2 linked regions of the Nothobranchius furzeri genome follow. The protein of the gene in region 1 interacts with the protein of each later gene in a pairwise test. Links are inferred from orthologs where the notes say so. Each region holds a gene or a part of one and is shown on either strand. Other genes may lie near its edges.

Evidence for each region. The genes of interacting proteins can lie anywhere in the genome.
Region 2: the proteins of mafga (region 1) and bach2b interact in binary tests that used the Homo sapiens proteins (3 or more experiments, as listed by UniProt). The link is inferred for Nothobranchius furzeri from reciprocal best matches to the Homo sapiens genes MAFG and BACH2.

The regions. Positions count from the first base shown.
Region 1 is NC_091752.1:59,016,514-59,020,589, forward strand, and holds the start of mafga (v-maf avian musculoaponeurotic fibrosarcoma oncogene homolog Ga), read left to right. Parts: upstream 1-1,237; 5' UTR 1,238-1,676; intron 1,677-4,076. UniProt on the Homo sapiens protein: Since they lack a putative transactivation domain, the small Mafs behave as transcriptional repressors when they dimerize among themselves.
Region 2 is NC_091743.1:91,361,726-91,365,929, forward strand, and holds the start of bach2b (transcription regulator protein BACH2), read left to right. Parts: upstream 1-1,271; 5' UTR 1,272-1,491; intron 1,492-4,204. UniProt on the Homo sapiens protein: Transcriptional regulator that acts as a repressor or activator. Binds to Maf recognition elements (MARE). Plays an important role in coordinating transcription activation and repression by MAFK.

The DNA of each region.
Region 1 (4,076 bases):
ATGAGCTACGATGTAGCCACAGCTGCCCTGGGGCGCACTGACAGAGGCAAGGATGCCGAGCACAGGCGCCACCAGTCCCTCCGACCACCACCAGCAGGCAAGGTGGGTTAAGTGTCTTGCCCAAGGACACAACAGCAGAATCCTCTGCAACCTTCCGATTACTGGACAACCCGCTCAACCTGTTGAGCTACTGCTGCCCTAACACAACTTGAGCTGGACTGTGACCAAACTTAGCCTCACATAAACAGTACAATTGCACAAACAAAATAATTACACAAAATATTCAAATGGGGGTCATGTTCTCTAGCCTTTAACATTAACTGGTTCCCCACACTCTCCCCCACAAAATAAATGTCGTCCCAACAAAGCAAAAAACTCTGGAGCGGCTGATTCCTCAGCTGGTATGGAGGTAGGTTTGGAAGATAAGTCTCTGGAAATATTTTCTGTAGTATACAGTCTTTAACATGGCACTCATCTGCTATGTCACATCATGTTGTAAAGGCAGACATTACTGGCCAGGTGATATCTGCAAGGAGGATACTCTGCTATATCTGCAGGTCAGTATACCAGACTGTAAAGTTTAACTCAAAACTTAACATAACCGAACGTCATAACCAAGTGTAACACTAATAACACTAAATACGCACGCTCTTGGTATCAAAATGTGTCTTTAAAGAGCAAGTCAACCCCTACCAGAGTCTAACTCCACTCCCACTTCATGTTTGAAAAATGCAACACATACTGTTGCCTGGCAGACCGAGAGGGCGAAGCCGCTAACAAATACACACGCACTCAGGCTCACGACAGCAATGTGACATCATAATGTACCAGTTTACGTCATAGCATACTTCTTAGCCAATAGCAGTGGCAGATTTAAATTAGAATACAGTGCAGAGTTTTTACCTGACAACGGCACAACACTGCCAGTTTTAGGCAGAATATTTAAATTTTAACTAAGATGCACTGAAGTGCCAAATTATTGACGAAACGTGTCTGCAGCACGATTAGACACTCATTTATTTAGTTTAGCAGCAAAAAAAAATGTTTATTTGGGGATGACTTGCTCTTTAAAATTCCCGGACATCATAAGTGAAATCCATGGCACAAAACAAGCAGAATTAGAAAACAGCGTTTTTAGCCCCATTGACTTGCATTCATGTTTTCATTCTTCCGGGGACCCGTGACGCAGAAGTGACTTCCTTATATGGTATGGTGCTGTCGTGCCTCTGGCCACTCCGCCCCATGCTACAAGCTACAGCCAAGTATAGGCGAGCTGCTGCAGCTGCGTGTAAAACGTTGAGAAACAGTTTTTTTGATGTGGGTATCACCATCCCGCGTCCCGGAGGTGATTTCCTATTTCGAGGAATTGCTTGTTGCCGCGGTTTACAGTAGGCAGGTAGAGCATGGGGATGTCCTCACTTGGTGTTTTTTGCAGGCGTGGAGTTTTCCACTTTGACAAGTATCAGGCACCGAGAGGTTGAGTCGTGGAATGTCAACAAGCATGTAAACCTCTGCAGGCGGCTTCTGCGAGACGTCGGTGTGCTGCCGTCTGTTTTGTCAGCCTTATTTTTATTTCTTCTTTTTTTTCGGTGGCTTGTCAACTCATGAGCATCTTGCTGTTGGTCGAACAGGCTGCTTCATCACCGCGAGTCGAGCCAGCGGCTTAACAAGACCAGGTTGGTTGTTGCTGATGTTCTTTCTTCTGATCCAAGACGAACATGCATGGATTGTTAAAATCGAACATTGTTTCGTTTATGTGAATGCTTTGATTTGATCGTCCTGAAAATAGCTTTTCGACCAGTTCATGTTGAATTGCTTTTAACCTAAGTGACTTTTCATTTAGTTAAAACCTGACAATGGTAGTCAAACATATTTTTTTTTGGGGGGGGGGGGGGGATGTCACAGCCGGTGAGCCCGAGAGAGATGTTGAATTTCAAAGCCCCCAAAAAGCGATATGTATTATTATTTTTTTTTTTATCATGCTGCATCATCACAGTGACGGATTTAGACATTCTGAGAACCCACCCCGAAATATGGCACCACCGGACAAAGGTCTGCTCGCCTGATAAGGGTCGATGCTCATCTCCAACCCTCCGTTAATATGGAGGATGGATCGAAATAGTTCTTTTGTCAAGACCGCCATGCCCATATGTCTATTGGATGATCAACATTTAGCTGAGAATGTGTGTTTTGTTGCAGCGCTGTCACGATAAACAGACACGACTGATTGTGCGTGTGTGTGTGCGTGTGTGTGCGTGTGTGTGCGTGCGTGCGTGCGCGCGAGAACAACGATTGTAAAATTGCCATGATTTGACTCACGCGATGACTGGATGGTCACATTTTGTCATGTATAGGCTAATTCCTGAATGTAAAGAATAAAACAAGCACATGACCTGACAAGCAGTTCACATGCCTTCAGTTTTTGCTGAACAGTGTGCTTCCTTTCATATGACAATGACAATTTAACAGTTTGTCATCGACTTGACAGCTGCTTTTGTCTTCCTGTGTGTGACATTATGATATTTGCATCAGAAGCTTGGCTTTGTGATAAAGCGTACTGCCCATCTCTGTCTTTCTCTGCAGCTAACAAGTAAAGATGATGGCCCTTTATATGCACAAAAAGAACGCAGATGTGGAATTAGTCCAGTATTTGATGGGAAATTACATTTAGAAAAATTCCAGTCTGGTTTTAAGCCAGTCCACAGTACAGAATCTGCAATGCTCTGGGTTTTTAATTACATTTATTGGCAACTGATTCTGGGGACTTTATTTTGATATTGTTGGACCTATCGGCTGCATTCGATACTGTTGATCAGTCTCTCCTGATTTCTAGGATGGAAGACTTTGTGGGTGTTTGCAGGGTCGCGCTGGATTGGTTTGTGTCGCACGTGGCTGACAGAACCTTCAGTGTCTCATTGGGAGATTCTACAGGTCCTTCTCAAAAAATTAGCATATTGTGATGAAGTTCATTATTTTCAGTAATGTACTGATAAATATTAGACTTTCATATATATTAGATTCATTGCACAAAACTGAAGTAGTTCAAGCCTTTTATTGTTTCTAATATTGATGATTTTGGCATACAGCTCATGAAAACCCAAAATTCCTATCTAAAAAATTAGCATATTAGCATCTAAAAAATTTCATCCGACCAATAAAAGAAAAGTGTTTTAATACAAAAAAAGTCAACTTTCAGATAATATGTTCAGTTATGCACTCAATACTTGGTCGGGAATCCTTTTGCAGAAATGACTACTTCAATGCGGCGTGGCATGGAGGCAATCAGCCTGTGGCACTGCTGAGGTGTTATGGAGGCCCAGGATGCTTCGATAGTGGCCTTAAGCTCATCCAGAGTGTTGGGTCTTGAGTCTCTCAACTTTCTTCACAATATCCTACAGAATCTCTATGGGGTTCAGGTCAGGAGAGTTGGCAGACCAATTGAGCACAGTAATACCATGGTCAGTTAACCATTCACCAGTGGTTTTGGCACTGTGAGCAGGTGCCAGGTTGTGCTGAAAAATGAAATCTTCATCTCCATAAAGCTTTTCAGCAGATGGAAGCATGAAGTGCTCCAAAATCTTCTGATAGCTAGCTGCATTGACCCTGCCCTTGATAAAGCACAGTGGACCAACACCAGCAGCTGACATGGCACCCCAGACCATCACTGACTGTGGGTACTTGACACTGGACTTCAGGCATTTTGGCATTTCCCTCTGCCCAGTCTTCCTCCATACTCTGGCACCGTGATTTCCGAATGACATGCAAAATTTGCTTTCATCTGAAAAAAGTACTTTGGACCACTGAGCAACAATTCAGTGCTGCTTCTCTGTAGCCCAGGTCAGGCGCTTTGCCACTGTTTCTGGTTCAAAAGTGGCTTGACCTGGGGAATGTGGCACCTGTAGCCCATTTCCTGCACATGCCTGTACACGGTGGCTCTGGATGTTTCTACTCCAGACTCAGTCCACTGCTTCTGCAGGTCTCCCAAGGTCTGGAATCTGTCCTTCTCCACAATCTTCCTCAGGGTCCGGTCACCTTTTCTCGTTGTGCAGCGTTTTCTGCCACACTTTTTCCTTGAG
Region 2 (4,204 bases), on another chromosome or scaffold:
ATATCATCATGGCCCCCCAGACTCTGGACCTCTCTCCCCCTGAGCCTGAGATCAGAGGACTCAGTGGTCTCCTTTAAAAAGCAGCTGAAGACTCACTTGTTCAGGCTTTGGTGTGACCTTCATCACCTCTCTCTCCTCATTCCACTGGTTTCCCTCTTTCCTATTTATTTATTTTCTCCCTTCCTTTCCTACATTTTTAAATCACAATTTTTATTTTTTTCTCATTTTAAACATATTTTTAAACATTTATTGAAATCTTTTTTATACTTTAATTTGTTTTGTTTTTGTGAAGCACCTCCTGATTTTTATCTTGAGAGGCACAACAGAAAATATTGTTTTCTTTCTTTCTTTAATACTAATAATATTAACAACAACAATAATAATGATAATAATAAATGTTATTGTTTTTACTGCCAATGTTTTGAGGCAGAAATTTAGTTTGATGAACATTTTATTTTTAAAAAAACTACGTTTTTGAACATTTTGTACTTTCCAATCCAATCCAATGTTATTTATAGAGCGCATTCACAAGGCATTACAACCAAACAAGGCGCTGTACACTAAAAATGTTAGTTAATTAAACAGGTAAAAAAAAAGTTTATACAAACATGTCGAACACAGATAAAAGATAAAAAGGAAATACAACAAAATTCCCAAAACAAACAGCAAAAATAAATAAAACACAGGGAGAATAAAAAATTAGAAAAATAAATAAAAGAAAAATCAAGTGCAGACATTTCTTATATTAATCAAAATCCAGAAGATCGTAAATTAAAACCCAGTTTTCCTGAATACCGTGCATGCCAAAAACAGGAATGTGCAAGTGCAATGGTGCTAGTACTAGTATAATTCTCCTTGGTGCTGCTAGTAGTACTATAGTAGTACTAGTTTTCATCGTTGAGCTCTGATTCAGAAAAATGAAGCTCATTCTCGCCTCGTCTCCACTTCTCCTCTCAGGTTGTGAAAAGTGCCTCGTGTCATCGCGGTCCCGCCGCGAGCACCGGGGAGGAGCACCGGGAGGATCTGTGGGGAGGGGGGAGGGATTTGAGCTAACGGGTCTGCGGTCCCATTCTCGAAGCTCCGCTGCGCCAATTCCGCGGCGCACACGCGCGCCTCCCCCCTACTGTAACGCAAGGCAGCGCGCGCCTACGATGTTGTGAATGAGGGAATGAGGTGACGTCAGCGGCCGAATGTCAACAATGTAGCGACTGAGAGTAGGCGTTCCAGTCGAGTGTAACAAACAACGGAGACGGAGCGGCACGCCGCGCGGGAGCACGGCGCACACTCACACACATCCACACGCGCGCGCTCGCGCACGTTCATGACACACGCTGTTTTGTATTTTTATACCGTTAAAAGCGAGAAGAATAATCCGGGACGTGATTGGTCTGTATGCGCCGAGAGGCTCCGAGGAGACGGCGGAGCGGGTCATCATGTGAAAGAAGTTCTGTTGGACCGACGGGCTGGAACACACGAACCAGAAAGCAGAAGGTAAGCAGCCTGCGCGGCCACTGCCCACACCGGGACCCGCCTGGGTCCGCCGTGTCCCAGTTTTACTGTCAAACTGGAGCAGAACCGCGGCTGGACCGAACCACCAGGTCCCCGCTGGTTCTGGAAGGAGTCAGATAGAGAGAGAAGCACGAGTGAGAAACCGCACGCTTGGTGCGAATATTACTATATTACTGAGTGTGTGTGCGCGCGCGCGTGGGTGTGTAGGGGTGTGAACGCGGGTTCAGGAGTGAAACACAACTCCACCACATCCTGTTGTGCTTTGAGTCAACGCGGCGCGCGCTGCCTTTTCCTCAGTTTGTTCAGGTTTCGGTGCTGCAGGAATCCCGAACAGCGCGGTCTTTAAACGCATCACTCGGTCTTTAAACGCATCACTCAGGCATTAACCACAGTCTGTTTTGTTCAGACTGCACCATTCTCCTCTTTGTTTTGGCTTCATGTTCTACTCTGGGTGGGAGCACACACACACACACACACACACACACACACACACGGCTCCATATTTGCTGCGTAAGCTGGGTTGGTTCCGATGGTCCAGGTCGGTTCCGTCACAGATCCGTACGTGAGCGTCGGTGTAAATCAGCTGCGAGTCAAACAGCGGCGTCATGTGAGTGATGCTGCAGTGAGGCTTAGTCACCCCCACCCCCACCCCAAGGTGGACGGTGTGTGTGTGTGTGTGTGTGTGTGTGTGTGTGTGTGTGTGTGTGTGTGCGTGTGCGTGTGCGTGTGCGTGTGTGTGTGTGTGTGTGTGTGTGTGTGTGTGTGTGTGTGCGTGTGTGTGTGTGGCAGTGCAGATTTTGATTTATTCAGGATGAATGATGTTCCCTCCGCTCAGACTAATTGTAGCTGCTGCCGTCTTTGTTCACTACATCACAGAATGAGGAGCTGCGTGCACGCTCGCGCGTGAGAGATGCCATGCTAATGACGTGAAGGCAGCATTCTGCTATCTGATCTTCCTCTCATCTGAGATGATGAAGAGGAGTGATGCTGCAGTGAGGCAGCAGTCTGAGGAGCGGTGACACCCTCAGCATCCCGCAGCATCCTTTGTCTCCCACAATGCTGATGCAACGGAAGGGGGGGGGGGGGGGTAAGGGGGCCCGCACCCCCCACCCCCGCGGTCCCGGTCCTCCCCCCGGAGCCTGATGAGGACGTTTCTAATCGTTGTTGTTTAAAAAGATAGCTGACGTAAACATCACATCTTCACTGACTCCGCACGGCTTCACAGCACGTGCGTGGAGGCTGCAGACATGCGCAGTGTCACCCACGGAGCCCTTTGTTCTGCACGCGCTCCCGTTCCGAGCATCTCTCCTGTTTATTGTGAGGAATCAGGGTTTTGGGGGAGGGGTCGGATGGAGCCGCAGTGACTCAGGCTTTAACCCGCAGCTCCACGGGAGCATGGCCTGGATCGTTGTTCTGATAACAACAATTATTATTATTATTATTATTATTATTATTATTATTATTATTATTATTATTATTATTATTATCAGAAGCTTTGGTGGCCCGCTGTAGTCACGAGGTTCTGGTCCTATTGGGCTCTAGGATGGAGATAAAAGCACCATGCACCACTGCTACGTAGGTTATTACATCCTTGCATTTTCTAAGTTCTGAATAGCTGTCCACTGTGACCTCTGGGGTTAAAGGTCATAGGTAAAATCCTGTGAATGGAAAAGAAAATCTGCAAATGACCTGTTCATGAAACATCCTCTAAAAGGTTATTGTAGAATCAAACAAGGTGCATCAGACTTTAGTCGGACACAAAGGAGCGTGTTGCAGAGGTGTTGCATCACGGTTTCTGATTGGTTCTTCTGCCTCCGTGGCTGCAGGAGCTGGAGCTTCAGCACCAAACGGGGGAAAATGAGAAGAATCTTTCTGAACATTCCCTTCACACCTATGGATTTTTATGTTTCTGTGGTGTTTTGTGTGATGATGGAGGTGAGAGCCAACATGTAACGGATGTGTGTGGACGCTGGGTCAGAGGGGAGATGAGTGGAAGTCATCAGTCCTACGGCCGACAGGCGGAGTTTCCTACAAACGCACACGAGTGAGACAGAATCACTAATCATTCATTAATAGAGGATCAGTGCTTATGGATGAAAGACTGACCAGCAAGAGATGATCTCACAGCATCCCTGGAGGGGGTTTAAAACTGTCATGTTCCTGTTTTAAATCCTTTTCTTGAGCCAGGATGTGCTAAAATGACCCTTTACAGGGTTAACCAAACACCACTCGGCCCTCGTGGCCGGAATACCACGCTGGCAACTTCAGAGTGTCCGGACTGCTCGCAGATATTGGGAAAGTAGGATGTCCAAGGAAGATCCCAACTTTCTCACCTCTGATTGGCCATCTCATTTAGCAGCAAACCGTCTTCCCTCGCTAAGTGTAGCCTGCGCTGCCACCAACAGAACAGCTGTTTAGGGGAGTTTATGATCAAAATGACAACTTAGCGCTACGATAACTAGTCTGTCCTGTTAGGTTTGCTTGAGAGCTAACACACAAAGTCAGCCTAACAGTGTGATGAATGCAGCGAGACTCATTACAAGTTCACATTTGACGTTTTTCAGGTTCTTTTCTAAACTGGATGGTTTGTTGCAGAGCGGGACAGAATGGTTGTTGTAGCACCAAGCTCACGTTTTCTCCACACAACTCCCCAAATGGCTGCAGACATGCAAACAAGGAGGACAGCCTGCACTTA